Linked DNA regions of Caenorhabditis elegans. The protein of the gene in region 3 interacts with the protein of the main gene of each other region in a pairwise test. Each region holds a gene or a part of one and is shown on either strand. Other genes may lie near its edges.

The links.
Region 1: the proteins of dnj-10 (region 3) and npp-8 interact in a two-hybrid assay, tested with the Caenorhabditis elegans proteins (one large-scale study listed by BioGRID).
Region 2: the proteins of dnj-10 (region 3) and fzo-1 interact in a two-hybrid assay, tested with the Caenorhabditis elegans proteins (one large-scale study listed by BioGRID).
Region 4: the proteins of dnj-10 (region 3) and prkl-1 interact in a two-hybrid assay, tested with the Caenorhabditis elegans proteins (one large-scale study listed by BioGRID).

Annotation. Positions count from the first base shown.
Region 1 is NC_003282.8:1,591,771-1,599,257, forward strand, and holds the start of npp-8 (Nucleoporin_N domain-containing protein), read right to left. Parts: upstream 4,055-7,487; 5' UTR 4,036-4,054; coding exon 3,801-4,035; intron 3,742-3,800; coding exon 3,645-3,741; intron 3,599-3,644; coding exon 3,397-3,598; intron 2,185-3,396; coding exon 1,627-2,184; intron 1-1,626. Other genes in the region: ced-2 (Cell death abnormality protein 2), read left to right, coding at 5,550-5,988.
Region 2 is NC_003280.10:5,831,238-5,839,187, reverse strand, and holds fzo-1 (Transmembrane GTPase fzo-1), read left to right. Parts: upstream 1-2,984; 5' UTR 2,985-2,987; coding exon 2,988-3,060; intron 3,061-3,106; coding exon 3,107-3,232; intron 3,233-3,283; coding exon 3,284-3,501; intron 3,502-3,552; coding exon 3,553-4,660; intron 4,661-4,709; coding exon 4,710-4,821; intron 4,822-4,866; coding exon 4,867-5,337; intron 5,338-5,383; coding exon 5,384-5,518; intron 5,519-5,566; coding exon 5,567-5,648; 3' UTR 5,649-5,860; downstream 5,861-7,950. Other genes in the region: ZK1248.19 (Beta-catenin-interacting ICAT domain-containing protein), read left to right, coding at 1-232, 277-474; ZK1248.15 (WW domain-containing protein), read left to right, coding at 645-893, 943-1,080, 1,132-1,279, 1,328-1,576, 1,626-2,023, 2,067-2,300; col-74 (Nematode cuticle collagen N-terminal domain-containing protein), read right to left, coding at 7,257-7,950; gtap-1 (Dynein heavy chain 7, axonemal), read left to right, coding at 5,956-6,012, 6,058-6,177, 6,224-6,327, 6,377-6,449, 6,502-6,636, 6,682-7,157. UniProt on the Caenorhabditis elegans protein: Probable transmembrane GTPase. Mediates mitochondrial fusion. Fusion of mitochondria occurs in many cell types and constitutes an important step in mitochondria morphology, which is balanced between fusion and fission.
Region 3 is NC_003281.10:8,627,727-8,635,279, forward strand, and holds dnj-10 (DnaJ homolog dnj-10), read left to right. Parts: upstream 1-3,438; 5' UTR 3,439-3,448; coding exon 3,449-3,542; intron 3,543-3,607; coding exon 3,608-3,711; intron 3,712-3,762; coding exon 3,763-3,843; intron 3,844-3,889; coding exon 3,890-4,045; intron 4,046-4,147; coding exon 4,148-4,438; intron 4,439-4,487; coding exon 4,488-4,789; intron 4,790-4,840; coding exon 4,841-5,064; intron 5,065-5,335; coding exon 5,336-5,450; intron 5,451-5,519; coding exon 5,520-5,523; coding exon of another isoform or gene 5,524-5,608; 3' UTR 5,609-5,839; downstream 5,840-7,553. Other genes in the region: polk-1 (DNA polymerase kappa), read right to left, coding at 1-12, 61-295, 364-516, 570-770; gpr-1 (G-protein regulator 1), read left to right, coding at 1,231-1,478, 1,530-2,030, 2,081-2,688, 2,741-2,961; twk-7 (TWiK family of potassium channels protein 7), read right to left, coding at 6,854-7,108.
Region 4 is NC_003282.8:6,982,509-6,990,054, reverse strand, and holds the start of prkl-1 (LIM zinc-binding domain-containing protein), read left to right. Parts: upstream 1-3,119; coding exon 3,120-3,329; intron 3,330-3,507; coding exon 3,508-3,750; intron 3,751-3,845; exon of another isoform or gene 3,846-4,279; intron 4,280-4,720; exon of another isoform or gene 4,721-4,872; intron 4,873-5,145; exon of another isoform or gene 5,146-5,299; intron 5,300-5,507; exon of another isoform or gene 5,508-5,858; intron 5,859-5,983; exon of another isoform or gene 5,984-6,331; intron 6,332-6,484; coding exon of another isoform or gene 6,485-6,595; coding exon 6,596-6,733; intron 6,734-7,003; exon of another isoform or gene 7,004-7,024; intron 7,025-7,083; coding exon 7,084-7,143; intron 7,144-7,546.

The DNA.
Region 1 (7,487 bases), on a different chromosome or scaffold from region 3:
GAATTTTTTTATTGCTTTATTAGACTAAAAATTGTTTGAAAACACCGAATTTCATAATGAAACTTCTTGAAAACTTCTCATAAAAAAGTTATGACGGCTCAAAAAATGGTCTAAAATTAGTTAAAATTTGAAATTTGACCAACTTGTCAATGCCGCAGCGGCTGGTAACAATTTTTTTGAAATCACCGTCAAATTTTGAGTGAAATTGATGTGTATACTCAAAATTAGACGGTGATTTCAAAAAAAAAATTGTTGCTAGCCGCTGCTACATTGACAAGTCGGTCAAATTTCCGATTTTAACTAATTGTAGGCCATTTTTTGAGGCGTCATAACTTTTTTATCGAGAAGTTTTCATGAAGTTTCATTATGAAATTCGGTGTTTTCAGACAATTTTGAGCGTAATAAACCAATCAAAAAAATTCGACTACACCACCTTTAGTAATTTTTAATTTAAAAAAAAGCTAAAAACTGCTCGAAAAAGAATTCAAAACCAATAAATATGGGGTTAATGTCCTAAATTTAATTCAAATGAGTAAAAAAGTTGTATCTAGTTTTTAAACCAATGCTCTCGTCAAGAGGTTTTTACTTTGAAAAAACCATTGAAAATTAGATATTTTCGAGCTTTCTGGGCAAAAATTGTAAAATTTTCGGCCGAAACCCAGGAAACTGAGCGATTTTTTCAAATTCACTTTTTTTGAAGCTCCAATCAATTTTAGAGCAGAATTTCAAGACTATAAAAAGTTAAAGGTGGGGTACCGAAATTTGAGACTTTCCTTTTTTTAGACACAAAATGGCCCAAAACTACCAAATTTCGTAAAGAGACGTTCTGAAAATTTTTCAAAAAAAAAGTTATGGCCGCTCAAAGTTTTGGAAAAAACGGCCTATTTTTAGCTAAAATCTCAAATTTTGGCAACTTATCGGTGTTGCAGCGGTTAGAACTTAATTAATTTTTATTTGATTGGCATCCTTTAATGCACGTTTTGGCATTTTATTACGTGTAATTTCGTTGGCAGAGATGTTTTTTGGCCAATAGGGACGCATATATGATACAATTTTGCGTCCTCATTGGCCAAAAAACCATCTCAATCAACGAAATAACAAGTAATAAAATGCCAAAAAATGCATTGAAAGATGACGATCAAATAAAAATTAAGATCCCCAACCGCTGCGACTCCGAGAAGTTGCCGAAATTCGGGGCTTTAACTAAAAATATGCCATTTTTTCGAAAACTTTGAGCGGCCATAACTTTTTTTTTGAAAAATTTTCAGAACGTCTCATTACGAAATTTGGTAGTTTTGGATTATTTTGGGTCTAAAAAAAGGAAAGTCTCAAATTTCGGTACTCCACCTTTAACTTTTTATAGTCTTGAAATTCTGCTCTAAAATTGATTGGAGCTTCAAAAAAAGTGAATTTGAAAAAATCGCTCAGTTTCCTGGGTTTCGGCCGAAAATTTTACAATTTTTGCCCAGAAAGCTCGAAAATATCTAATTTTTAATGGTTTTTTTTAAAGTAAAAAACTTTCGACGAGAGCATTGGTTTAAAAACTAGATACAACTTTTTTACTCTTTTTTTTTACTCTTGTTTGTTAAATCCCGATTTTTCCAAATTTTCGGCTAAAAAACGAACTCTTTCATTAGGTGTTCCACTATTATTAAACATAGCCATCGTAGACTGCGGGCCCGTCGACACTGAAAAGTACAATCGAACTCCTTTGGCAGTAGTTGCAACTAGGTTAAGCGCAGCCGATTGTGAAGCTTCCAACGCCTTAATCGATGTAATACTGTGAAAAGATGTCTCATCGTGACCGAATTGCGTCAGAATATGAGCTTCATGTGCAATTTTCGAGATGGGAACACTCAAAAATTTGGCACAAGCTGCTCCATCCGCTCCGAGATCCCAGACACTGACGGTGCCGGCTCGGCCGAGCAAATACATGATATTTCGGGATTTATCGATTGTAATCTGATCGAGGGGCTCTTTTGAAGAGCCGAAGAATGGTAGAGAGATCAGTGTTCCGAGAATTGATGCAGTTTGATTTACACCTCGACACTTGTGATTTGTGGAGCCAAACCATCCGTTTTGTTTCTCGTAGACGAATTCGAAGAGTTGATCGTCGGCTGTATAGAATACTCGACCATTTGAAGTATACGAAATATCATTCACTGTTGCTCCGTCAAGGGCTATCTGAAAAAAAAAATTGGGGATTTTCTAGAGAAATTGCTGAAAAAGCTCAATTTTTGGAGTGTTTTCCAATGTAAAATTGCGATGAAATTCATATAAAAATTGACGATTTGGGGATTTTTATGATAATTTTGGCTTGAAATGGGTTTCGTTTTCAGAAAATATATTTAAAAAAAATAAAGAGTATCGTCTAAAACTAGTGATATTTTCAAAATTTTCGCTCATTTCAGAACAATTTTGGCTTAAAATTGAGCTTTTTAATGGGGATTTGCCAGATACAACATAAAAATTTGACGATTTTCTAGAGAAATTGCTGAAAATGGAAGATTTTTCTGGAAATTATGTGAAAAAATAAAATTTGAGCTCAATTTTAGAAAAAAAATAGACTTAAAAGGAGCGTTTTTATGTACTGGAATTATAGTAAAGTGCTGGAAATTTCAGATTTTTAAGGAAAATTTTGGCTTAAAATGAGCTTTTTTTTCAGAAAAATTAATGAAAAATTGAAGATTTCCGCAAAAAACTGTGTTTATTTTCAAAATTTTAAATTTTTTAGAAAAAAATTTGGCTTGAAAATACCGTTTTTGTGTTATATTGAAGTTTCTCGTCGAAAATTACTGTTATTTTCGAAATTTTAGCTCATTTTTGAAAAATTCTCGCAAAAAAAATTGAGCTTTTTAATGGAAATTTGCGATTTTCTAGAGAAATTGTTGAAAAGCTCAATTTTTGGGAAAATTTAGGCTTAAAATGAGCTTTTTTTATCGGAAAATAAATGAAAAATTGGAGATTTTCGCATAAAACAACACATATTTTCGAAAATTCGGCTTGAAATGAGCGTTTTCAACGACAAATTGTTCTAAAAAAAACGAATAAAAATTGAAGATTATCGAAATCCCCAATTTTTGGTTTGAAATGAGCATTTTTGATGTAAAATTGCTTTGAAGACTCAAAAAATTAGTCAGAAACTCGGATTTTCAAGTTTTCGAGTAGAAAAAAAAACAGAAAAGCGTTATCAGCAAATTTGAGCTAGAAATAGACGAAAAATCCCGTTGTTTAAATTTTTTTTGTCGATTTTTAAGTAAAAATCGCACGGAACATCGATTTTCCCGTGTTTTGAAGACTCAAAATCTCCAAACTTTTGCGATTTTTGATTCAAAAACTTGGGTTTTCTTGGTAATTCTTCCTTCTTTTTTCTCCATTTTCACTCGAATTTCGAACCTTGAAGCATCGTTTTGAGTCGATAGAAATGCTACTGGCGCCATTTTCCACGAAATCAAAGACCGGATAAAGACATATATCGGAAATTGTGCCGACAACGAGCCCATATTGAATTTCCGGCTCAAAAACGCCTGGCTTGATGTTCACCAGCGACACCTTCAGAATTGCAGCGTCTGATGAGTCGAAAAACGCCAAATCGTCGCTGAAAATTCGATTTTTTTTCGGTATTTTTCGGCTTTTCCGCTTACTTTGTCTCGTAATTCCACATATAGAGATTGTTATCAATGACGACCCAAACTCGGCTGATTTGTGTGAAGAATCCCATGCTAAACTCGCTGTGAATATCTGAAAATTCACCAATTTTTCGCTGAAAAACCCCCCCATCGGAAACAATGCTCTCTCACTGCTCATTTGCATTTGAAGCTCTCCGGGTATTGGGATTCGCCGTGTGCTCACAAACTCCGGCGCTCCCTTCACATAAAACTTCTCGCCGAGACCGGAGACGGGCGTCGTGCCGTGTTGTGTGAGGCGATCGAAGAAATCCGATGTCTCCATCATCTGCTCGACGTGGTGTGCCACCTTGTTCGCCGCCGCTTCTGCCGAGTCGGCCGAGCCCAACTCCATAAACGAGACACTCATCTCGGAGGATGGAAAGCTGCTGAAAAAGTCGGAAAATTTTGAGTGATTTTTGATATTTTAACCTTTAAACTTGAAAATTATAGCAAAAAACTGTAAAAAACCCGGAAAACTTCCCGCAAAACGCAACTTTTCGCGCAAAATTCCGAATTCAAATTGCAATGCGGCGCGGAAAAGTGGGCGGGGTCGCGTGTTGCAAGTCCCCCGCACACCTCATCGTGTACTCCTCTCGGACAAGCGCAACAGCTGACAATTTATTTTTGCGTGCAAAAAAAGTCGTTTGTTTGCAATTTCTCACCAGTTTTCGGAGATTTTCTTGATTTTTTGCGGTTGCGCATCGTAAAATACGTATTTAAAATGTGTAAACTTTGGCTCCAGTCGACAAGAAGCTTATGAGTCATTGCCTGGGAAAATTGCTCATCAATTTCCTCATTTTTACGAATAATTGGTGTTTCAATGCGTATAAAAACAAGAAATCGGTAAATTTAGTATGAAATATATTCGAAAATAAAGGTTTTAAGCGTATTTTTCAATTTTCTTCTACTAAAAACCGAACTTTAGCCTAAAAACCTGCTTATTCTGCTCGAAATTCTCGATTTCGCCATGTTTTCCAATTTTTTAACACAGTTTTTCAAAAAAATTCTTCATTTTTCCCATAATTTAGCCGAAAAACTCAACTATTTTGCCCTCTTTTTCCCTAAAACTCGCCATTTCCTACCAAAATTTGAAAATTTTCACTGTGTCCAATCGATTTTTCTTCCTAAAAGTACCATTTTCTCCAATGTTCATTTATTTTTCAGAAATTTTCACTAGAATTACTAGATTTTCTGTGCCAAAACCACGATTTTCAGCAATTTCTTTCTTTAAAATCTTATTTTTTGCCATTTTAAGGTACTTTTCCAACGAAATTCCTGATTTTTTGATTTTTCCACGCAAGTTTTGGCCGATTTTTAACTGATTTTCAGCATTTTTTCAGCCAAAAAAACATCCATTTTTGTTCATTTCCTGAATTTTTTAAATGGAAATTCCTTGATTTTCTTGGAAAATCACGCTAATTATTATTCAATTTCCAACTTTTTCATCCAATTTTCTGCCTATATTGACTCGTTTTCCTTTAAAAAATCGAATTTTCACCCGTTTTTTCACATTTTCAGCAATGTTTAGGTTGAAAATCATATTTTTATTCATTTTAAAATATTTTTTCCCACGAAATTCTTGATTTTTTTTTTGAAGATTTTTGCGTTTTCTTCTCAAAGATGGTGATTTTTGGCCGATTTTCATAAATTTTCGCTCTCAAAAACAAGATTTTAAGCATTTTTCAGCCGAAAAAACTTTCCCCTTTTATATAATTTTTCTTGATTTTTCGTCTTTTTTTTCTGGATTTTTAGGAATTTCTCGTGATTTTTGATGATTTTCCGTCTATTTGGGTTACGTTTTCCAGAAAATTTTCCCAACTTTGACCAATTTTGCGCGCCTAAAAATTCCACGTTTCTAAACAATTTCCCGCATTTTCAGAAATGACGACAAACGGGTTCGATCCATTCGAGTGGCGTTCATTCTACTTCCCAGGAATGAGCCGTGAAGAGGCTCACAAGTTGCTCGGCGAGCCACAAGTATCGATCGGCACCTTCCTAATGCGGGATAGCTCACGCCCCGGTGAATATTCACTGACAGTACGTGAAGCCGACGAGGGAAATGCCGTTTGTCATTATTTGATTGAAAGAGGAGAACCGAAAGAAGATGGAACTGCTGCAGCTGGCGTGAAAATCGCGAATCAGTCGTTTCCAGACATTCCGGCGTTGTTGAATCATTTTAAAATGCGAGTTTTGACTGAGGCAAGCCTGCTGGCCGCCTACAAGAAGCCTATCATTGAGGTTGTCGTCGGAACATTCAAATTCACAGGGGAACGAGAGACAGATCTTCCGTTTGAGCAAGGAGAGCGGCTCGAGATTCTTTGTGAGCTTTAAAGCAGCACTTTTTTGATTAAAGGTGGACTAAACCCTGTGGGGAACTTGCTTTATTGAAATTTAAATTTGCCCATCGAAAACGTCAAAAATTAACTAAAAATCTCAATTTTTCGGCGATTTTAATTGAGAAATGGCTTGAGAAAGTGGTAAAATTTGGCAAAACTTGGTTTTTAATAGTTTTTTTTTTGCATTTGGCTTCAATTTCCCCGAATTTTCAGATTTTTTAATCGAAAAAGTGCTCTTAAAGCTCACAAAGAATCTCGAGCCGCTAAATCAGTGGATTTTTCGGGGATTTCACGAGAAAATTGACATTTCTAGTAGTTTAAATGGCATTTTCCGAACCTTTGTTCTTTCTTCTCTAAGAAGTGCTCGAGATTCCAGAAATTGATTTTTTTTCCAGAAAAAACGTTATAATTGTGAGGAAATCGACATTTTTTCTTGCATTTGGCACTATTTTCTCCGAATTTTTAGATTTTTTAAAGGCGGACCCAGTGGGGAAATTGCTTTAAAACACGCCTATGGGGCCACAATGACAGAATATCATGATTAAAAAATTCAAAAAAATTTCCCTGATTTTATATGATTTTTTGAAAATTGAAAAAAAATCTCAGTTTTCACCTAATTATTTTTGAATTTCCGCCAATTGGATTTTTTCAATGGAGCGCGCTTGCATTATTTTCATTAATTTTCAAAATTTTATTTCTTCTCATTATTGGACTGATTTTCTTCATTTTTTGGAGTTTTTCATCGGAAAATGGAAGAGAAATAAACAAGAAAAATGCAAATTGTTTGTTAAAAATTAACTGAAATTTTCTAAAACTGTGATTTCTTGAGTTCTGACAACGACAAGCCTGAAATTAGTATATTTTACAGTTTTACGCATTTTCAGTTACTTTTAAAAAATCATTTTGCATTTTTCTTGTTGTTTTCTTCGATTTTCCGATGAAAAACCACAAAAAATGAAGAAAATCAGTCCAATAATGAGAAGAAATAGAATTAATTAATGAAAATAATGCAAGCGCGCTCCAACGAACGAGTTCAATTGGCGGAAATTCAAATAGGAATTAGGTGAAAACTGAGATTTTTTCAATTTTCAAAAAATCATTTAAAATCATAAAAAAAAATTTTGAATTTTTTAATCATGATATTCTGTCATTGTGACCCCATAGGCGTGTTTTAAAGCAATTTCCCCACTGAGCGTAGTCCACCTTTAAATAATCTAAAAATACGGAGAAAATAGTGCCAAATGCAAGAAAAAATGTCGATTTCCTCACAATTATAACGTTTTTTTCTGGAAAAAAAATCAATTTCTGGAATCTCGAGCACTTCTTAGAGAAGAAAGACCAAAGGTTCGGAAAATGCCATTTAAACTACGAGAAATGAGTTTTCTCGTGAAATCCCCGAAAATCCACTGATTTAGCGGCTCGAGATTCTTTGTGAGCTTTAAGAGCACTTTTTCGATTAAAAAATCTGAAAATTCGGGGAAAT
Region 2 (7,950 bases), on a different chromosome or scaffold from region 3:
TAATCTCGAAGAAGACGAATACAGGGAATTGCGTGAAGACACTGTAAATCAACTTCAGGAATATGGAAAAATAGTCGAACGCCTGCAAGGCGGAGATGTTTCTTTAATTGATGATCTCACGGCGACTAAAATTGCGATTCGAACAGCAATAAGTAAAGCCTTCAAAACACCTGAAATTATGGCTTTATTTGCTGGAAAACATACTGGTCTTTTACGAGAAAAATTGATGATGGTAACTAATCTCAATGATATTATCGTTTAAAATTTAATTTTCAGACAGAAACCAACTACCGATCTCAAAAAATGCCGAAGCAAGGGTATCTGGAAAGGAAATTTGAAATTTTGATGGCACTGAGACGCCTTGAAGAAACATTAACAGAAGATGAAAGGAAGTTTCTCAGTGATCGATTAGAAACACCAGAATTCCAATTAATTGAGGCAAATGCGAATCGTCTTTTCAGTGGAAATGTGTAATTTTTATTAAATTATGAATTTTTACTTGTATATAAACTATAATTTTTTTTTAATGTTTTTAATCAAAAATCGCTTGTTTTATATCGGTTTTAACCATGCTGCTCAATTTATCTTTGTTTCCCACGAATGATTTTATTCCTAGGACCTCACCAGTTTTCAGAGTACAAATAATGGCTTCTCCAAAAAAACCAAAAAAAGTTAGGTTAGATGATAAAACGGAAAATGTATCACCTCCATGGAAAGCCTGGTGGCACACGGAAAAGAAACGGAAGTTTTATACGAATGATAAGACAAAAGAAAGTTTATGGGATCATCCAAACACCCGAAAAAATGAGGAAAAATCTCCGGTTAAAGCGAAAACGAGAAAACGGAAAGATGTAGAGGAAAATATCCATGGGACCATGGATGATGATAAAATGGTAACTATTAATTATCAATTAACAGATTAATTTATTCATTAAAATTTAGGAAGTCGATGTGGTACCCCCGCCAAAGCGGAAGTCTATGGAGAAGTTGGATGATGAAGAGTTTTCATGGAAGAGGCCAAGAAGATCGGACAGTTCGGAGAGAATAACGAAAAAAGAAGACATTCCCAGCTGCAGTGGCGTTAGTGTTGATATAATTATTAAGCTCTTTTAAAATAAAAATCAGTTGCAGGTAGAATCTCATTCCAATAAAATGCTACCACGTGTTCCATGGTCTTCTGAAGTTCGACCATTCAAAGATTTGCATTATCGTGCGTGTGCCATATTCGATACCTGTGCTCTTCTGGGAAATCCTGATGTTCTCAATGCTTCCATCGAAAGTAAAATATAGAGAATGATATTATTATTGAAATTTCTATTATTTTCAGAACAAATTCTCACAGTCATTCCATATTTTACATTATCTGAGCTAGATGGTCTTAAAAACGGATCAGGACACACTCGAATTGTAGCTAATTGTGCAAATAATAGTATAAAAGATCTTCTGGAAGAGAAGAATCAGTACTTGCATGTCGAGACGAGCACAGAGCAACAGATTCAGATAAACGGCTTCAGTGCAAACACAACTGTTGTAGATGATTTGATTCTAAGAACTGCATTGCGAATAAAAAGAGAAAGTAAGTTTTTTTCTTAAATTAAGATTCGAGAATATACCACAATTTTCAGTAATGTCAATTCCATCTACAATGAACCTCAATGATCGTGCTATTATACTCGTCACCGAGGATGTGAATCTTTCAAACAAAGCACTGACTCATGATCTGCACGTTGAGACAGTTAAATCATTCATGGACACCATTCATGGTCGGAAGAAACAACAAACGGATTCGGATCAACTAAATAGTTCAAGGAAGTCTTCGAATTCTGATAGAAGACAAACTACTAGGAAAGAACATCATGCTAATTCTCATTCTAACAAATACACTAGCAACGACATAAAATACAAAAGGAACGAAGCTGTTAAAAGTGTAAAGAAACATCGCGAATTGGAAAGTTGGATCAACGACTTAGCCAAAAAAGATGCTGGTCGCAATGCTGGTTTTGTTAAAGAAAACAAAGTAGAGGTAACAAAAAATTATTATTTTGTAAATTAAAATATGTTTTCAGGCTCCCAGAAAATCTCGACCATCGATCCCACTAGCAGACGAGATCACTCTTCAACCGTCTTCCTCAAACTCGGAATCATTTAAACCAAGAAAGACATATCCCTCATCAACATATCAATCATCTCAAAATGGAAACGTAGTCAAGACGACCAAGCCAAATAGTAATCGCCCAAAAATTCCGTTAAGCCTTTCGGATGACGAATGTACCTTCAACGACAATATGGATTGTTCCTGAATATTGTTTCCTATTTATAATTATGATTTTTCTGCATTCCTGCATCCGGTCTCATTGCATGTACGGTGTACTTTAGTGAATTATTTAGTGAATAAATGTTTTTTATGTTTTTTTTTACTTCAAACTTAATAGAATACCGCTAAATCAATAGAAATGTTTCGATTGTTTTTGCTTTCTAAATATATAAATCCAAAAAGCAATCAGAAGTTTAAGAAGAGACACTGCAGAATTTCAAGAACGGGGGCTTGCTGATTAAAAAATTTGCAGCAAGCATTATTCACAAATTTTCTACAAACTGCTTTCATAAAGTTTATTTATATCTTTTAATGTTTAAAACGGCAATTTAAAGCACAGTAACTTTTCTTAATCAAAAATAGTTCGATAGACAACTAATTTTTCTCACAAATCGTTGTCTCCCGATAATCGATTCTTTTGTGTACAGAGAGCGCGCTCCAGTGAACATTCTTTTTTTGCTCGCGACGGAGACAGAAATGGAAATTCTCTGATAATTCGAGTGTTCCTTTTCATTTTTTTTTATTATTCCAATGAATAATTTGATGTTTGTATAACCTTTTCGATATTTCAAATAAGATTTAATGTTTTCTAGACTTTTAAGCGATTTCGTAATCCTCGAATCGAATTTCCGGCTGATTTATGAGACTTTAAATATATTTAAGTTTTCAGGTAATGTCTGGCACAGCAAGCTTAGTTCATACTCTGCCGGCCAGTGGTGATTCTAATCATCGTGGACTTCACAGCTGTATGTTTATTCAACCTTTCAAAAAACAATGCAATAAACTTTTCAGTGAAAAATTCGCGTCGTGCTGCCGATAATGAACCACTTCTTCGATTTCGAGAAGCTAAAAAGGTTCTTGGGGATGTCTATGGAGAACTGAAAGACAATGTGGCTGAACTAGAAGGTGTTTACAAAGGTATTTTCTGTTTTTTACTTCGCCGCAAATATAAACCCACAAAAGTTCCAGATATTAAAGAGAACGACTTTGTTAGTTCTGAACAGCGGGAAGAAATCGAAGCAATTGGCGATTCAATCAAAACTATAATGGACACATTTCAAAGAGATAACATGAAGGTTGTATTTTTCGGAAGAACCAGCAACGGAAAGAGTACAACTATCAATGCGATGCTTCATGAGAAAGTGTTGCCCCAGGGAATGGGACATACAACATGTTGCTTTCTGCAGGTGAGAATCACTTTTTTTTCATATTTTATTGTAAATTTTTGAAATTTCCAGGTTGAAGGTTCAGAAGGCGAAGTTGGCCATCTACAATTAGATGATAATCCCCAAAAGATTGATATGAAAATGCTTGGAAAAATTGGACACGCACTGAGTGACGAAAATTCAGATCTTCCGGCAATGGGACAGGATTCTCTTTTGAAAGTGTTTCATCCAAAGAAATCGGAATCAGGGGAATGCCGACTTCTTCAAAACGACGTCGTCATACTTGATAGCCCTGGTGTCGATCTTTCTCCAGAATTCGATAGCTGGATTGACAAACATTGTTTAGATGCAGATGTATTTGTGCTTGTATCAAATGCGGAATCAACATTGACACAAGCCGAAAAGAACTTCTTCCTTCGAGTCGCGAAGAAGCTTAGCAAGCCCAACGTATTTATTCTCAATAATCGATGGGACGCCAGTGCAGCAGAAACAGAAAACATCGAAGATGTAAAAAAGCAGCATTTGACGAGATTCCGTCAGTTTTTGGTCGATGAGCTTGAAGTGTGCTCAGAAAGAGAAGTCAATGATCGAATCTTCTTTGTTTCATCGAGAGAAGTTTTGGAATCACGATTAAAAGCTAGGGGACTGGTACAAAAAGCCTATCAAGCAGAAGGTCATGGCACAAGAGCCTTGGAATTCCAAAATTTCGAACGACATTTTGAGCATTGTATCTCTCGATCGGCGATTCACACGAAATTCGAAGCTCATAACAGGAGAGCTCATGAAATGATCGGAAAAATGCGGCTCAATCTGAATAGCGTGCTAACCTCTGCAGCTGAGCAGAGAAGCAAGCTTCAGAATAATCTAAACGAATCCACCAGGACTTTCAATGAATGCCGTGTAAACTTCACTCAATTTGAAAAAGCTTACCGTGAGCAGACAGAGCAACTGCGAGCCGAAGTTCATCTGAAAGTTTCTGCTGATTTCTTTGAAGAAATAGCACGACTTGATGCAATAATTGATCGATTTGAACAACCTTTCGATGGAAGCTCTTCCGGAATGACAAAGTATAAAGAGGATTTGGCAATCTTTGTGGACAAATGTTTGAGCAGTGATTTGGAAGCTAGATGTACCGGTGGCCTAATGTCAAGAATTTGGAATTTGGAGAATGATATGTTCCGTAAGTGTTTATCTGGGAACTGATGTGTTATAAAAAATTTTTTTTCCAGAATATGTGACAAAAATCCTCGCCGAACCTTATCAGAATAAGCTTGAAGAAGTGTGGCGATATCGTGCTCCTTTCAAATTTAGCATTTGTGTCGATGTCCCTGCTCTTGTCAAGTGAGTTTCGATGGATTTTTTGTGTTTCATTCTTACATTTTTCAGTGATTTCCATGAAGACCTCGAGTTCCGATTCACATTTGGTCTACACGCAATAATTCGTCGCATCATTGCGTATCGAAGCGGCCAACCTGTCACTGCAATCAACACCAATTTGCTTACTCCATTATCACTAAAACAACAATCCGAAAAGAATTCAGTGAGAGATGCAGAAGCTTCTGCAGCTTCCGAAGAACAGGCAATGATGACTCAAATGGTTTTGACATCAGCCGCATTTTTAGCAAACGGAAGTCTTGGAGTGCTAGTTGTTGGTGGTATTGTGTATAAGGCTGTTGGTTGGAGAGTAATTGCTGTCGGAGGAGCGGCCTACGCTGGACTATATGCATGGGAACGAATGCGCTGGAATTCGGGAGCCAAGGAACAACATTTGAAAGAACAGTTCAGATCACATTTAGCTGCTCGAATGCAACAAGTTTCAACAGCTCATACTCATCACTGTGAAACACAAGCTATCAGGTATTTTTTAAACCGTATAGTTTTCAATTCAATTTGTTGTTTTCAGAGAAATGGACCAAGTCTTTGACGGATTGAAAGCAACTGTTGGTGGAGTCCATAGAGAAATGAAAAACGATTTGGATGTACAGAAGACACAAATTGATGCAGTTGATTCAACAATTCGAACATTGGGAACAATCAAGTATGTCCTCTTAGATCTGTGTCAAGAATTAATAAAATTAATTTTCAGAGGAAAAGCAGTGTTTCTTCTCCGAAATCTCGAACAATTTGCATCTTCTTATCTCCGATCGGACTCTCCGCCAACGCCATGAAAATGACTAGTCTGAATTTAACTAATTTTGGTGCTTTTCCCCTTATTCACTCAGTCCTATAGCTTTTAATTCGAACGATTGGTAATCGGTTCAATGTAGATATTTTGATGAGCTGTTTTCTCGTTATTTCTAGACAATTTCAGTAGTTTTAGTGTTTTGATTATGATACTTCTATGAGACGAATAATAATTCGAATAAATTTTTGTCGTTTGATTTTTGAGAAGATATTCAATTATCTGTATTTATATTCATCAGAATTTCTATTTATGTGTTGTGGTATTTGAAAATAGGAAAATATAATTCAGGTATGAATGAAGACGACGATGTTGGAATTTCTGTGGAATTCGATCAATGCACGCAGGAGGTACTGTAGGGAACCAAATATAGAAATAGTTAGAACAAATTTCAGACAATGTTCTACAATTCTTGTCTAGAAGATCGTGACGAAGGAGGAAGCGGAGACATCTCACGTGCTGATTCTGCAGTATGTCTCACGACACCTAGAGATCCGTTTCCAGCTGTTCTACAGGTAATTGAAGATGAACGAAAACTTTTTATAAACTGTTTTTTTTTAGAAGTTCAACTCATCTCGTAAGAATCATCAAATAAAAAAGTTTCATGATAGCAATGTAAAACGATGTCAAGAGTACAGAAAGAGTATGGAACATCAAAGAAATGGGTAAGAAATTCGGATTTTCAAAAACGAATATTAATCATTTTATTTTGAGAACAGACAGTTATTTGCTCACTCAACAACGGCTCGCTGTTCATCTCATCGACTTTATTGATTTACCTGTTAAAGTTAGTTCAAAAACTAAAATAATTTTTATCAAAAATAAACGTTATAATTCAGAAAAATACTCAACGAAGAATATGCACTGATCGTGTGTCGATGCCTCTATACAGATTGACGTCTGGTGGTCTTGAAGTGAACTCGGATTATTATTTTCCAATGGAATCTCCGTATGCGAATATTCAAAAATCTTATGTAAATTTTTAATATTTCTTCTATCAATTATTTAAGTTATTTTAGCTACGAACACTGGCCGACCACCTCACTCGAACTCATCGGAAGCTTAACGAAATATGTGAATTTGTGGAGAGATGTGAAGAACACAGTCAACTGATGCTTCCGACACTGATTACTGTACTCTGTGATTGGGTGAAACAATTTCTTAGAGATCACGCTTGTCATCTCGACGAACTTCGTGCTGAGCGACTGGAAGATCCTTTACAGACATTGGCTCGACTAAATAAAAATATGGAAGAGGTGGAAATAGTGAGAGCAGTGATTGGCGATGATGTTGGAAGACATATTTGGTTATGGGAAGATATTGAAAACTCTTGGAATCGTGTATTCCTGTTAACACAAATGGATGCCATCGCAAAGAAGAGGGATGTTGTCAAGTTGTTACAAAATAAATGGATTCGCGCTTTGTTGTCAATTATGGATCATATTTTCGAAATTGGAAGAGTTCCTGCAGCTATCGACTATTTTGTTTTGCACAAGTGAGTTTCAATTTTATGATTTTTAAAGTTTTAAAACGTAAGATTCTTGCTTGAAAAATTTATATAAATATTTAAGAGAAGAAAAATAAATAATCGCATCTAATGACGTCTGTTCTTGTATCCCTGGTTTCCATTGACTGGTGCACTTTCCTGTCTTTGAGGACATGGACAATATTCGGCATCAGTTCCTGGCTCTCCCTCCTCTCCTGGTGCTCCAGCAGAACCGTTCTCTCCATTATCTCCCTTGTCTCCACGTGGTCCACGCTCTCCTGGTGCTCCTGGAATACCTTGAGCTCCGGTATCTCCTTGTGGTCCTTGATCTCCTGGTTGTCCAGTTGGTCCAGAAATTCCCTTTGGTCCTGGAAGTCCGACTTGATGTTCGACATCAGCTCCTGGTTCTCCTTCTGATCCTGGTTCTCCTTGTGGTCCGACTGGTCCGACTGGTCCGAGGCTTCCTGGCTGTCCTGGAGTTCCGTCACGTCCTGGCATGGCTCCTTGTCCGCGAGCTCCACGCATTCCACGAACTCCTGGCTTTCCTTGTGGTCCTTGTGGTCCTTGTGGTCCCTGTGGGCAAGTGAAGCATCCTGCATATTGTTGAGTTTGAGCTTGAGCATCGTCAGCATCCTGTCCATCGATTCCTGGCACTCCTGGAATTCCGTCGATTCCGTCAGATCCTTGAGCTCCCTTTGGTCCAGCTGGTCCAGCTGGGCACGAATTGTCAGCCTGGCAGTTGCAAGATCCTCCTGGATTTGGTTCTCCTCCTTGTGTTGGGTTGAATTGTGGTGGCACTCCG
Region 3 (7,553 bases):
GCTTGAAGGTTTCTAGTAAGCAAATAGTTTTTTGTTAATAATCAAATCTAAATCACTAACTTTTTTCTGTATTACTTGCCACATAGTCTGTCAAATCTATAAATGCCTCATCCAATGACATCATTCCAACATCCGAATCGTATTCCATGAAAATTTGTGAAAATTGGCGACTGACTTTAGTGTATTTAGGGTAATTTCCTGGAACAATCGTTAGACTCGGACAAAGTTTATTTGAGATGAAGCCAGGCATTCCAGCACGGACTCCAAAACGGCGAGCCAAGTAGTTGGATGTGCTCTGAAAGAATAGATTTAAAGCTTTTCCGAAATCGAAAATTTACTTTTCAAATTGAGTTAGGTGCTTACCAGCATTGCCGATGAGCCTACGGCCATAGGAACTGTTCTCAGTGCAGGATTATCTCTCATTTCAACTGCGGCAAAATAAGCATCCATATCTATACAAACACAGTCTCTTGATAAATCTCTAGATGATTCCAGTTTCATCTCAAGATTCTCCATCTGAAAATTGGAAATTTGCTCTAAGTAAATTTATTAGCTTTTAAAATACATACCAGTATCTCAGATTTTTGTCTTTCTTCTCTGGTTGCTGTTTGCAAACGATTTTTGATTTCTAAAACTTTCTCTTCAATTCTTGATTGTTGTTTTTTGGAAAACGACGAGTAGGACGCTGATGTGTTTTCTTCGATGACTTTCGTGATTTTCTCCTTATCCAGTCCATTCATTCCAGCTTTATTATCGTTGAAAGTCAGCATTTTTCACGAAAAAGAGCCGGATTTTGAAATTCGCGGAGAAACTCCACTGATTGTGAGTGTGCAAATGCGCGTAATGGTGTACTTACGTACATCGGCAACACATTTGACGACATATCAGAAAGCGGCGCCAAATTAGAAGTTGAGTGCGCGAGAAAAAACTACGCGTTAACCGCCAATTTTCACTTCCCCACAGATCTGTCTCGAGATTCTCGAGTCATTTTTCAAGTTTATTTGTTTGTCAGCGGTTGTTTTATTGAAGATTTGTAAAATTTATAACAAAATGTGCAATAGTCTATTAAACCTCGTGAGATATTTGAAGAAACTTTCCCCGTTTTAAATATTTCGTGTATTCGTGGAGATCGCGGGAATGTTTTGCCTGTTTCCGTAAAATTCCTCTATTTCTTTTATTTTTGCTTGCAATTTTCGATTCATTTCAGAAGTTTCCACATTCGCAAAACGAATGGACGTCTCTTATTACGATGGTCCCAAGGATGAAGTCGCCGAAGCAATGCTGAAAAGCGCGGTGACGGCCATGAGATTGGGACAATACGAGGATGGAAAAGGACGCTTAGAGGAGATAATGGAGTTCGGAACCTCAAATTTTCAACTACTTGGTACAATCTACATGTATTACGGAAGAGTGTGCAGGCATTTGAACCATGATGCCAAGGCCTTGGAGTTTTTCGAACATGAGTTGAACATGTTCAAGTAAGTGAATCACAAAAATGAGCTGGACATTCTATAACCTTAATTTTTCAGATTGATCTTCAACTACCCAGAAGCATGTGATTCCACACGTCGCATCGTCGAGCAGGCACTCAAAATGGGAAAGTTCCCCAAGGCTCGACGGTTTGCTGAGGATCTCATTGATTACACCAGCAATAAGAAGAACGGAGAGAAGTATATCGGTCAAGCTCGAATTTTGTTCGCTTCCGTGTGCCTCGAAGGATGTGAAAGAGACGTCGAGAGTAATCAAGATGAGAAGAAGAAGCTTTTGTCAATATGTGCTGAACAGATTGCAGCCGTGAAATTGTTCAACGAGAATAATACGGAAGGAGCTGTGTCTGAGACCAAAATCATGTTACTTGAGGCGAAATGCTTGTCACTAGACGAAAAATACGAGGAATCGCGTCGCAAGTATCAAGAATGCATCGATTTTGCCATCAAAACAGACCAGTTTGAAGCAGTTCACATCGCCTATTACGACAAGGCTCTATATGCTGAGACAGATCTTCTTTTCTTTATTATCAGAGATCTCAGGTAATTTTTAGTTTTAACGATTAATAAAAATATCAATTCTTTATTCACAGAAGTGCTCTCTTCTACGCCACGAAATTCGGAAAAGAGCGAGATGTAGTCAAATATAAGTCGAAGCTATCCGAAGAGATGCTGAGAAATGGCGAATTCCACGAAGCATATCTCTACGGATTGGAAGCGCTTGTATCGATTCGGAAGCTTGGATTGAACGAATACATTGGAGATGTGTTGCTTACAATCGCAAAGTGCCTCATTGCACTTGGAAAAAGACGCCAAGCTGCTTATTTTATCATCTTGGGGAGTGTTCTGACCATCAACCAAAACAGTTTCAAACTGTTCTACGAGCAGATCGACGTGGCGATGAATCAAGAGAGAAGCGAAACGGCAACTGATCAAGATGTATGCCTCGCAATTGATTCGTCTCCTGATCCGACATCCTCGAATGACATGATTAATAAGTTCGTCGTCGAACTGGAGCACGCAACAAATGTGGAAACCTGGGAAATGATTGTCAACGGAATCATTGACGACCAGAAGAAACCAGTGGCGATCGAAAAGAAAGAGAACGAGGAACCCGTAGACATGATGGATCTCATTTTCAGTATGAGCTCACGTATGGATGATCAAAGAACTGAACTGCCTGCTGCCAGATTCATTCCGCGTAAGAAATGTTATAAATAAGCGTATAAGTATGCAAATTTATATTTTTCCAGCTCGTCCAGTGTCATCGGCATCGAAAAAGACTACAAAGAGTCACAGAATCCTCCCTGGACTCCGTGCCAATTGGACAAAAGTGCAGTCGATGAAGTTCGATGGTCACACAATGAATAGGATCCTGAAGAGGTCGAAGAAAAGCAAATCGTCATTGGATTCTACAAATTCGATGCAGGGCGATGATACTCGAAGCGATGATGTGACAATGACGTCCAAATAGGACCATTATTTTTTCTGTCAAATAATACAATCAAACTTTCTTTATTTATTTTTTTTTTACTTTCTTTCAGTAAATATTATTATCATTTTAGTGGTTCTTTTATTTTATTTGCTGGTCAGAAAAGCTGATTTTTTCAATTAGCGAAAATCCATCAAGTCATATTTCTATAGACTCTTTACTACATACGTTGATGACTTTCGTGATTTTCTCCTTATCCGGTTCATCCATTCCAGCTTTATTATTGTTGAAAGTAAATAAGCATTGTTTCCCGAAAAAGAGCCGGATTTTGAAATTCGCGGAGAAAAAGTTGAAAATTGAAAAATCCAAACGATGCTCCGATGTTCCGTCCGAAATGTGTGTTTTACCGTGACGGTGTTTGCAGACAGCTTGAAAAAACATTTATTTTTTTATTTTAATTTTATTAATTTATTATTTATTTTAGAATGTTCTATATTTTAAAATGTGAATTTGTTTCAGGGTACTCGGAATGTTTGTCTTAAACCGTTCAAGCGGGCTCATTCATCGATCTGTACCTTTATTAGCTCAAGTATCCACGCCTACGACTTCCACAACAAAATTAGGTTAATAATTCTCCATTTGGTGATAAACCAATTCTTTTCTGCTTTTTTAAAACATTATGTTACAGCTCAACTTCACACAACGCATGCACTAAGCAAAGAAGATTATTATAAGACTTTGGGTGTCGACAAAAAATCTGATGCAAAAGCAATCAAAAAGGCTTATTTCCAGGTAATATAAGTTTTTATCGAATACTTTGTAAGTATAAATACGTTATTTCAGCTTGCCAAGAAATACCATCCAGATGTAAACAAAACAAAAGAAGCGCAGACGAAATTTCAAGAGATTTCTGAAGCATATGAGGTATTTTCAACAAACAATAGAGCAGGCTCGAATCAAAAATATTAAGGTACTTTCCGATGACACAAAACGTCAAGAATATGATGCATACGGAAGCGGAGGTGGCCCAGCTGGTGGAAGAGGTGGTGCTGGAGGTTTCCACCACCATGGAAATGTTGATGTTAACGAAATTTTCAGAAGAGCATTTGGTGGAGGGGGTGGAATGGTGAGTTCTCCTTATGAATTCTTCTGAATATTATATTAATTATATAATTTTTATTGTAATTAATAAAAACTACAGTTTTATTTATTTTTTCGCTGATTCCAGGGTGGCTTTAATTTTGATAATTTTGCCCAAAGTGCTTTCGGACATTCTGCTGCTCAGGAAATGGTTATGGATATTTCGTTCGAAGAAGCTGTCCGAGGAGCCACCAAAAATGTTTCTGTAAACGTAGTTGAAGATTGTCTGAAATGTCACGGAACTCAAGTTGAACCAGGTCACAAAAAGACGTCGTGTCCGTATTGTAACGGAACTGGAGCAGTTTCTCAACGTCTTCAGGGTGGTTTCTTCTATCAAACAACTTGTAATCGATGCAGAGGAAGTGGACATTATAATAAGGTAGAGTTATTGATTTTTCTTTTATTGTAGCTTTTAATTTTTTCTTCAGAATCCTTGTCAAGAATGTGAAGGTGAAGGTCAAACCGTTCAACGACGTCAAGTATCATTCAATGTGCCAGCTGGAACTAATAATGGAGATAGTTTGAAGTTCCAAGTGGGGAAAAATCAATTATTTGTTCGTTTCAACGTTGCACCATCTTTGAAATTCCGACGTGAGAAAGATGATATTCACTGTGACGTAGATATTTCTCTGGCTCAAGCTGTTCTTGGTGGTACTGTAAAGGTTCCTGGAATTAATGGAGATACATATGTTCATATTCCGGCAGGAACTGGCAGTCACACTAAAATGAGGTAATAAATCTCCAAAAATTGGAACTTAAATATTCATTAAACAATTTTCAGATTAACAGGAAAAGGAGTAAAACGATTGCATTCTTACGGAAATGGAGATCAATATATGCATATTAAAGTAACGGTTCCGAAATATTTGACAGCCGAACAGAAACAAATTATGTTGGCTTGGGCTGCGACGGAACAGCTGAAAGATGGAACCATCAAAGGATTGGAGAAAAATCAGAAAACCGAGGAGAAGGAGACGAAGAAAAATGAGGAAAAGAAGTCTGAAGGTGAAAAAATATGATTTCAATTTGAAACAAAGGTTTTATCAAAAAGTTGTCTTTAAAAAATCGAGAAATTACCAAAAAAAATTCATTAATTTTTTTTTTTTAAACCGACATTATTGGTTGTAAAGATTCAAAAAGTTTGTAAAATTTTAAAGTTGTTTGAAAAATACCTGAAAGTCTTGTTTTTTTTTTTGCATTCTGATGCACTTGTAATCTCAATTTTTCCCCAAAACTGATTTTTGATTCTTTTCAATCCAAAATTACTAATTTATAGGTGCATCAGAATCACAAAAACGGAGAAGTGAGCCAGTAGCTGAGAATGCAGAAACTATTGACGAAAATCAAGAAAACGAGGGATTTTTCGAAAAAATTAAACGAAAAATTTTCGGGTAAATATATAAATTTCTAAACAAAAATTAAATATTTTTGTTTCATTTGTATTAATTGAAATTTTCCAGATAAGTCCGAGGAGAAGTCCGAGTCAAAAGAAGAGCCAAAAAACGAAGAATCTAGTGAAACCCCCGAGAAAAAAGCTGCAGAATCCTAATATTTGTCGCAATTTATCGATTACTGTCCCAATCTTTCCAGTTTTGTTCCCTTGAAATTTGTTTTGTCTCATTTGTAGTTCTATTAGAGTGATTATAGTGTCTTTTTTGTTACACTTGTTTTTTTTTTCTATTTTCAATTAAACCGAAACAAATTTATCAAATTTTATTCAGAAAGAGATAACACAACTAGCAATGATATGAAGAGTTTTATGGATGAAACTGGATTTTTTTAGAAAATGGTCTGTAACTTGGCTGAACATGAAAATATCAAAAACCTCAAAATTGATAAAATGTGGTAAAATGTTTTTCAGTTTTACTACACAACAAAGATTTTTTTATGAAATTAGATGGATGTTGAGTTATGACTGGTAGAACAGAAAAGTTTTCAAAAATTTTTGTGGATTTTGGTAAAATGGCTTTGACTCAATGTAACGCAACGAATAATTGGTATTTAAAAATGACAAAGATTTTAAAAGAAAGAAAAAACATTTCTGATCATTATGTCAGTTGAACATTTGTTTCCTAGGCATTCATGTTTCAAGATACGCCAGTTTGAAGATACGCAGTTTAGTGAGTTTAGGAAGTTATATTCTCATTACAAGCACAGGTACATGAGAAAACAGCAGTCAAAGAAGGGCGGTATTTTTTAATTTGGAATTATATTTTGCTCCTTATAATATTGGGAACACATCTGTGCTGCTAAATTATTGTTTTGTTAATTTAAACCGAAACAAATTAATCAAAATTTATTGTAAAATAAAAATACAACTAGCAAAATATTTTATAGGACAAAATATGAAAAACGGAATGTCGTGTGAAGATGGAATTGAAAAGATATGAAATCATTGTGATCTGTTCAGGCAAACTTTATAAAAAGCAAGGTTTTCGGGATAGTTTGAAAGAGCAGATCACCTGGATGTGAAAATACGGTGACATTTTTTTGGAAAAGGGAAAGAAAATGAAAAAAAATCGATAATTTATAGAAATTTTAGCCCGTTTTTAATTAGGGAAAGGGCGGTGAGTTAAGGATGTGAAATAATTGAAATTTCAAAATGGAAAAGTGGTTTTTTTTGCACAGAATTTTTCATTTTTCATCTTGAAGGTTATATTAAACACGCGATGACTGTATTTAGAACCCATTAAAATAATGGAGAAAAATGTCTCAAAACTGAAATACTGATTTGAGAAAACCATTTTCCCTATTTGAAAACTAAAAAAGATGACAAAATATAAAAATGGAAAATCTATTTGAATGCACGATTGAGAGAATATCTTGAATGACAAAATCTACAACTTTGCATATCAATTGCAGACGATGACGTGGAAATGGTAGCAGCATCGGCAGTTTGATCAATATATCGAATACATCGGATATCAGTTGGTATGAATGGTATGATGTGTTTGGAAACATAGAGATTCTCCACTATAAAAGCTTCTCGGGACATGTTACGAGCTCGCTTTTGCATTAAATTTGCGTAGAGTTCTGATACAAGGACTACCTGGAAATATTTCAATTTTCCGTTGATCAACATAAAAAAGCAAAAAAAAATGCTTTTCAAAAAAGGCAAAAGTTTTTTAAAAGTTTCAACTATATGCATATTTTTGACCACAAAACCAAAACAAAACAAACTCAATAATATAAGTAAAGAAAACATTATGGAAATCATTTTCTCGCAAGGTCTTGTAAAACTAAATCGCACTTGAAACTGACTATTTATATATATGAGAAAAATGAAGGAGTCCTCCAAAAATGATGCAACTCAAAAACGAAACATCAAAACGTATTTTTCAACATTTCGCATTTCGCATTAGAGACATTTCGCATAGAACGGATTTATGTGGAAATTTATGGACGTTTTCGTCCTTTTTAGATACATGAGCACATGTTCTCCTGTTTTATTTAGAGAGATGACTTGCTTTCAAAATTAAAAAAAAAAACTGCTT
Region 4 (7,546 bases), on a different chromosome or scaffold from region 3:
TCGGAGGTATAAAAAAGGAGTGTCATCAGCGACGATGATCATCGATTATCATGTTTTAAGACTCTTTCTAAAGGTTCTTTTGTTCGAAAAGTTTGGCTTTTTTTTTAGCCCTTTTCCTCCAACTTTACAACAATTTTTGTATGCTAGTATAATAAATTCGTGCAACCTTACCAGTAGTTTGCAAAAATGTAATATACACTCATCCCTTTTCCCAGTTATTCTCGATTTGGTGACAGTAACCGTGAAATGTGAAATTGAAGTTCACATCAAATGTATTTTAACGGTCATCGCGCACCAACTTCCATTCCTTCATTTTTTCACATTCTAATCTTTGTTCGGTTGAACGAAACACGAGGTGAAAACTATGATGGGAACCACAAAAAAAGAAAGACGGGAAAGTTTTCTAGGTCATTTGGAAGTGTTGGTGTTTTCTCCAAATTTTATTACTGTTTCAAGGTGTCCATAAATGGCGAGGGTAATTCTTTTGAGTAATTAAAAGTGTTCAAATGTAAGTTTTAACATAACCTTTGAAAACTATTCACTTTCAGAATAGAGTTTAGTAAACTGAAATCGTATTTTGAATTTTCAGGCCATTGTCGATATTTTCCGTTCATACCCTCTAACAGTCTTGCATCGCAATATACCAACCACTTTTTCCAACACTTTAGAACGTTTTTTAATTCAACTTTCATAGACCTTGTTTTCAAAAATAATCTCGGCATTTCAACTCTTTGCCAAACGTTTGCTAGTATTGATTATTCAATACTCAAAAAAATTCTCAAGTAGTTTATGGCCACCTTGAAACTATAATAAAAATATGAGAAACAACCAAAATTTCCAAACGGTGGATGCAACACAATTTGAAACGTTAATATATTATTTACAAAAATATTAGCATTCAAGGGGATTTGCCAAACTTGGTTTTTTTTTAAACTTCAGTGCGGCCTCAACCGATTTTCGCTCAAATCTTACCCAAGTTCGGCCCAAGCTTTGGCAACTTCTGGGCCAATGGTATCTTTTTCGGGCAAACGTTTGACATTCTGATATCATGATATGCATTCTGTTAATGAACCTTCTCCTCCTCATCCCCTTCTCATGCACCATCATCACCATCACCGGCTGTCTTCCGTGATGTGAGGTGTCTGTCTCTCGTCTCACTCACACATGCGCATCATAGGGCACCGACGCAAAAAAGTGTCAAAAACGATTTATTGTCTTTTCTCGTTCGGTCCTCACCATTGCGCCCCTGTCCTCAATGCGTCGCTTTTTTGTGCGGTCTTCTTCTTGGAATTATTACCGTTTTAATAGGCGTTGAAATTCTGTTGGAGCAGGCTTGAGAGCGGAAATTAGAGTTCATAATTAGTATCTTAGTATCTTATAAGAGTTCATAATTAAATAGTAATCTAATCATTACATCTAAGACTTGAAAAAGAGCCCTCAACTTTTGATCTACCGCAACTCTATTCACCTCTATTAGATTAAAACCAACTCCAATACCCTCCAGGGACTTCCAATCTCTAACCGATAACATCTTTAGTACCGATGTATCATAACACCTGTCACCCATAGACACACACACATATATAGACCCTTCCTGGCCGAGATGAGGGGTACATAAACACATGCGGTAAGACTGTTAACCCCGCCCTCAAAATACTGCTTCTCGGTCTGCGTCTCACCCTTCTAGTTGATGTGGGAGGATCCTTGTAGCTTTTGGGTTCTGATGGGAGATATTCCATGCGGTTCCGGTCAACGCCCTCCACATTAGTTTCACTTTTGTTTTAAGTTTTCAATTTTCACAATTTCATTCTTACCGCAAAATGAGTCATTTTTTGTACGCTATACACATTCTGGTGTTCTGGTAGTACAGGGTGTTGTTGCGTTCAATATTGAAATCGTGAAGTGATGGCAATTTCAGAACTGCTACAAGAGCTTGAGCAGAAATCATTTTCATCTTTACAGAAATTTTCAAACTAGGCATTCTACGCCTTCCTATATTTTTTCCAACACACATTTATATTTTCTTACAATAATTTTTCTCCGCTCTCACAAAAGCTCGAGTTACTTGAATATTCGAAATAGTTTTTTCATGGCTCGTTTTTCTCATTTTATTTTTCTCAAAAGATTGTGCCAGCAATTTTTTCCTTAACAACAAATAACAGTTGTAATTACTCAAAAACATTACCCTCGCAATTTATGGCCACCTTGAAACAGTAATAAAATTTTGTGAAAACACTAATACTTCCAAAGGACCTAGAAAATAGTTTATAAAAATATCCTCAAGTACCGAGAGTTTGTGAAAACATGACGTGAGACTTTAAAGGTGTCTTCTACTCCTCTTGATGGATCTTGCCACAATCTCTATAATAGAATAATGCTTCAAATATAAATTATGAAGCGTATGTAATTTTCACATTCTAAAATGCACAGGAACTATCATGGTAAATTTTGTTACTTTTATTACTTTTTTGCGAACACACTACCGCAAAGTCGGAATCAACAGTAAAACTTTAGATTCGTTGAGATCTTAAAGTTCTTCCTTTGAGATGTTCCTATTAATCCATTAGTTACCGTCACTTTTCCGTTATTACCAGTATAATGACAGAGACAAAACGGGGCGGCGTGCGCGACGGCAAACAGTCATTCCTCTATTACAAGGCCATATCAAATTAGCATAAACACACGTCTCCCGATTCTTTACTATTTTTCATTCTTCAACGGGACGTCGTCTTCTAGTTGAAGATTTCGGAATCTTTTTCTCTAATTGAATCAACATTACGAAGAAGACGATGTCCTTTTCTGCAGTGAAATGAGAAATGAAACGGTCAGATGTCGTCGTGGGGATTTACGGGGCAATGGAGAGACCGGTCTAGTTTTGTGGATGATGGTGATGGTGTTGCCAAAGTGATTGACATTTTTATATGGCAGCAAAAAGGTTATAGAGAGGGACTGGTCTTCTTTTCACACTTAACACTTAACACACCCTTTTTTGGAGGCTTTTTTGAAGTGATTTTGCATACACTATTTTTCTTTTTTTCCAAGTCAACCTCAACTTTATCGTATAATTTGCCATTCTCTTATGAAAATGTGTTATTTTCAATTCATAGTCCCTATTTCAGATGAGCGAACGAATTCGCCGTCGTCGTCTCGAAGCATCGGAGCAATTCGCACCGCAGCTCATCTCATCACGTCGAGCTCAAGGTGGTCTATCGCCTGCTTCGAGAATCCGAATTGCAGCTGATGCTCACAGGCATTCAACATCTGATGATGACAGTGGATGTGCTTTGGACGAGTATGCATGGGTGCCTAGTGGTCTGAAGCCGAATATGGTAAGTATAGAGATTTTGAATGATCTCGTGTGCAATAAAGAACAATTGAATTAGGTTTTTGAACACCAAAACCTAGACCAATTAAAATGTTCACAACCTGTGGACCGTTCAAAACAGATGGTTTTTTGTGCACTTCAAATACTGATTCAAATTCAAATTCAAATTCAAATTCTTACAGGTTCATGCCTACTTCGCCTGTCTCCCGGAAAACAAGGTACCATTCATTGGATCAGCTGGAGAAAAATGGCGACAACGTCAATCACGTTATCAACTACCACCACAGGATTCTGATGTTAGATATTGTGAAGATTTAAATGCAGAAGAAGCGGATACATTGCGAATGTTTGAAAGAACTCGAAAAACTGAATGCCTGGGAAGTGGTGTTGTTCAATATGCTCCATTTGATACAAAATGTGAAAAGGTTAGTATTTTCCATCAAAATTTGTTTGGTTTTATTGAAAAATCGTCACCCGGCCTTATTATGACATTCGACCCATTTGAGCACAACCGTAAATCTTGCCAAACTGTGGCGTATGAAACCATAAACAACATTTTCTTTTTCGTCTTTCCGCACCATCCCCAAAACTCATAAATCTTTATGCGCGAGCGCTCTCTTTCCGCGCACCATCATCTATGCTTATGCTGGGATGCTCCTCATCATCATCTTCACGGCTTCTTTTTTGTCGGGCGGCTTTTTGCCTTTGCATTCCCAACGTGTAGGCACTGTCTTACACTTGAGAATAAACAATGACGGAAATTTGAGAAAGGTCATGCTCATTAACAACGGCGAGGGCCGTCTGCTCTCGGATAGTCCCACTTACGAGAGTGCGGCAAAAAAGTTCTGAAGAATGAGAAGAAGAGGTTGTTGACCTCGATGGGGGAAGCCAGCTGCTTAGGTGTTAGATTTTTGTACGGCATGAGAATAGTTGCAGCAACTTGAAAGGGACAAATGGAATCATGAAAATTCGTCGAAAAATAAACCTTTTTTTTTTAATTTTCTGATATCGTTTTTGAAGGTATCGTCAGTACCGTAAAAAAAGCTTCTATGTATAGTGTTAAAATGTTCAAATAAATTTTTGATTTTATTTTACATACAGTCAAAAAGTGGGAAAAACTCATTTTTCATTACTATAATTTTGGAAGGCGTTCAAAAATACTTTCTACGAGTTTCCAATTTCGTTTTAATCGTTTGTATTTAAACATTTTAGTTGTACGAACCTGCTATTTAAACATTCTAGTAGTACGAAACTATGCTCAAAATTTATTTTTTTAAATTTTAACATTTTTTGAAACAATACACCCATACTTTAACTGAAACTTTGAAAAAACTGAACATTTTTGAAGTATTTAAATTATGATATGTGGTTTTTTGTGTTATAATAAGTGGATTTCGAATAAATCTCCACTGACGATAATTTCATTCAATGGCAACCGACTGTCTGCAATTATTATTGCAACATCTAAATATTGGAGAGAAATAGAGAAACAGAGATAGAGTCATAGACAATATGCAATTATTGTCAATGTTCATCCATCTTTCTTTTACTACGAAGCTCCGGCTGTTTGTCAGAGGAGAAGCTGAGCAGCAGCAGTCACTGCTAATTACCTATGCATCGTTACATGTTTATTAATAGGAGAGACAACGGGGCTCATTGTTGGGGTTAGCTTGGATTTTCGTTTTAGGAATTTAGAATTTTTGCTTTTGAATTTCCAAGGGTTGCTAGGGGTCTAGCTTAAGTTAGTAAATGTAAATGTTATGTACAGTAATATACTCAATTTCCGCTCCTTCTGCTCGTTCTCTTTAGTTTGTTCATTGAGTTATAATCTGATTAGAGCCGTCTCAGTGTTAATCTAATCCGGTCATGGGTAGATGGTAGGTAGATCAAACAAAGCTTCTTCCGATATGCGCGCGCGGGGCGTTTTGATCTAAACACTACTCATAACAAGATTAACAAGGAAAATGAGAAGGAAAGCAAGAAGTCAATTATAGGGTGAAAGAAACAGTATATTTTTGGAAGGGAAGTGCCGAACAGATGGTCTTCCTGGGTGCCATGTTACCATGTCATCAATCACTTTTCTTAGAGGATCCCTCTCATAGTCAGGGGTTTTCGCGCATTTGATACCCTTCGCCCAGTTGGTTGCCCCTCCAAGTATCTGGTTTGAAGACCTGAATTAGGAGACATGGGAACATCTGCCTTTTGTAGACAATTCAGGCAGTGTCATGTTGTTTTCTGAATTGGATGTGTCAGTTCCAATTGTTACCCGTGTGCGTGTCAAGGGTACTTGTTAGTTGTTGATAGTTTACAAGTAATTATCGCCGAATATTGAGGATTAGCTGAGTACAAGAACTTGGAAAACAAAAGTATTGAAGTTGTGAAATAGGTAGGTACGTCTTCACTACCTTTCTACGTGCCTCCCAGGCGTAGGCAGAAGACAGGCAGTTTTTCCCTAGGATTACCCTGTCACGTTTTTCTGTTTAGAGGTGTCTGTTGCCTAATCCATTTCAAAATTTTAGGTGTCTGGTTGTCAGATTAGACGCGAGGTCTTATCAACTTATGGTTGTACATGTCTGTTGTTAATGCGGAGGTTACTTAACTTATAACAGAAGAGAAAATTCACAATGTGCACACTTTAAACAACTGAGAATTTAAATATTTGATTCTTAAAAATAAATTTAAATTACAACTACCAACAAAGATTCTAAGACGGTCAAGAGGGTAGCAGTAGGGGCATACCATCTTGTATTTACATAACTATAGAAACACATGGAGAAACTGAACCACCGGCTGGAGGATGCACTTGACCGTATAATGTTGCTACTTATCTTGTAATCTAGTCCATATAAATACTTTTTTGCTTTCATTAAAAACACCTGCTCGAGACGGCGGGGAGTATATTTTGTGGAGACTGTCCTAACAATAAAATGAAGAATTTGGACGATTAATTTTATTTGTTTCTGAAACAGTGAAAAATATCTTGTACTACATGTTGTTAATGCATTTCTTTTCGCCAGATTTTGCATAGCGAAAACGCAACAAAATGTGAACAAATTGTATGTGACAGATTGAGATTTGAAGATGAATTTGAATGGCACATCTCATTTGGAAGATGTTGGATTTTAGATCTTTATCATCTCTCCGGATTTCAATGAGAAAATGAAAATGAAATTGAGACACAAATTACAAATTAACTCGTTCTGGAGTAATCAGGATTATTCAATTATTCAACAAATTTTGAAAACACGACTAGAATATGTAAATTTTCAGTGTCCAAAACGTCTTGAAGAAGGAGAAATCAGTGTGATGGCTGCAAGAACTGGAAAAAGATATCATCCATCGTGTTTTCGGTGTCAAACGTGTGATGTTCTACTTGTTGATTTGATTTATTTTGCACACGACAATCAGGTTAGGAATTTTTTAAAAAGTAATTTTTACTATCAGAAATTGAATTTTTTGGAAGATATAGACAATGTGTCAATGGTCAATACATATAGTCAATTTTATATAATCAACAACAACCCAAACATTTTTAGATTTGTCAAAAATGTTCGGTAATAGTTTTGCCTAATTGTCAAATTTCTCATTTTAAAATTTGATTTAAAATTGAAAAATTTCGAGAATTACTGCAGACTCATCATCTCTACAAAAAAAATTTTGGGATGTCTTACGATGTTATTTGATCATTCTATTTTGAGACCGTGATAAAAGTTTTATAAAAGTTTATGTTTTTTTCACAAAACAGTAAAAATTTGCAGATCTACTGTGGAAGACACCATGCTGAACAGGTCAAGCCGAGATGTGCCAAGTGTGATGAGGTGAGTAGCACTATTTTTGTACTTTATATTCCCTTTCTACTATAACAATTGAACCATCCATTTTATGGCCCCCTTACACTGTTTGCTTTGAGTTTCCGATACATGTGGTGTGCAAACTTTTATGATAGGCGATTTGGTGAAACACCAAGCGCCGGCGGTTGGAGGAGAAAAAAGTGTCGCAACTTGAAATAATTGAGGACAAGAAAGCAAAAAGAATAGTAAAAATAGTTTGGAAAAGAAGAAAAGGGAGATTTGCTAAGAAACATTTTTGAAAATTTGAATTTTTGGTTTTTGAAACATAATTTGTAAAAAAGAAAACGTAATTATACCTATAGATATAATTCAATTTGGTACGTGTGTACTACAGTGCGTCCAACTTCTATAGCACCCCCCTCCAATTTGG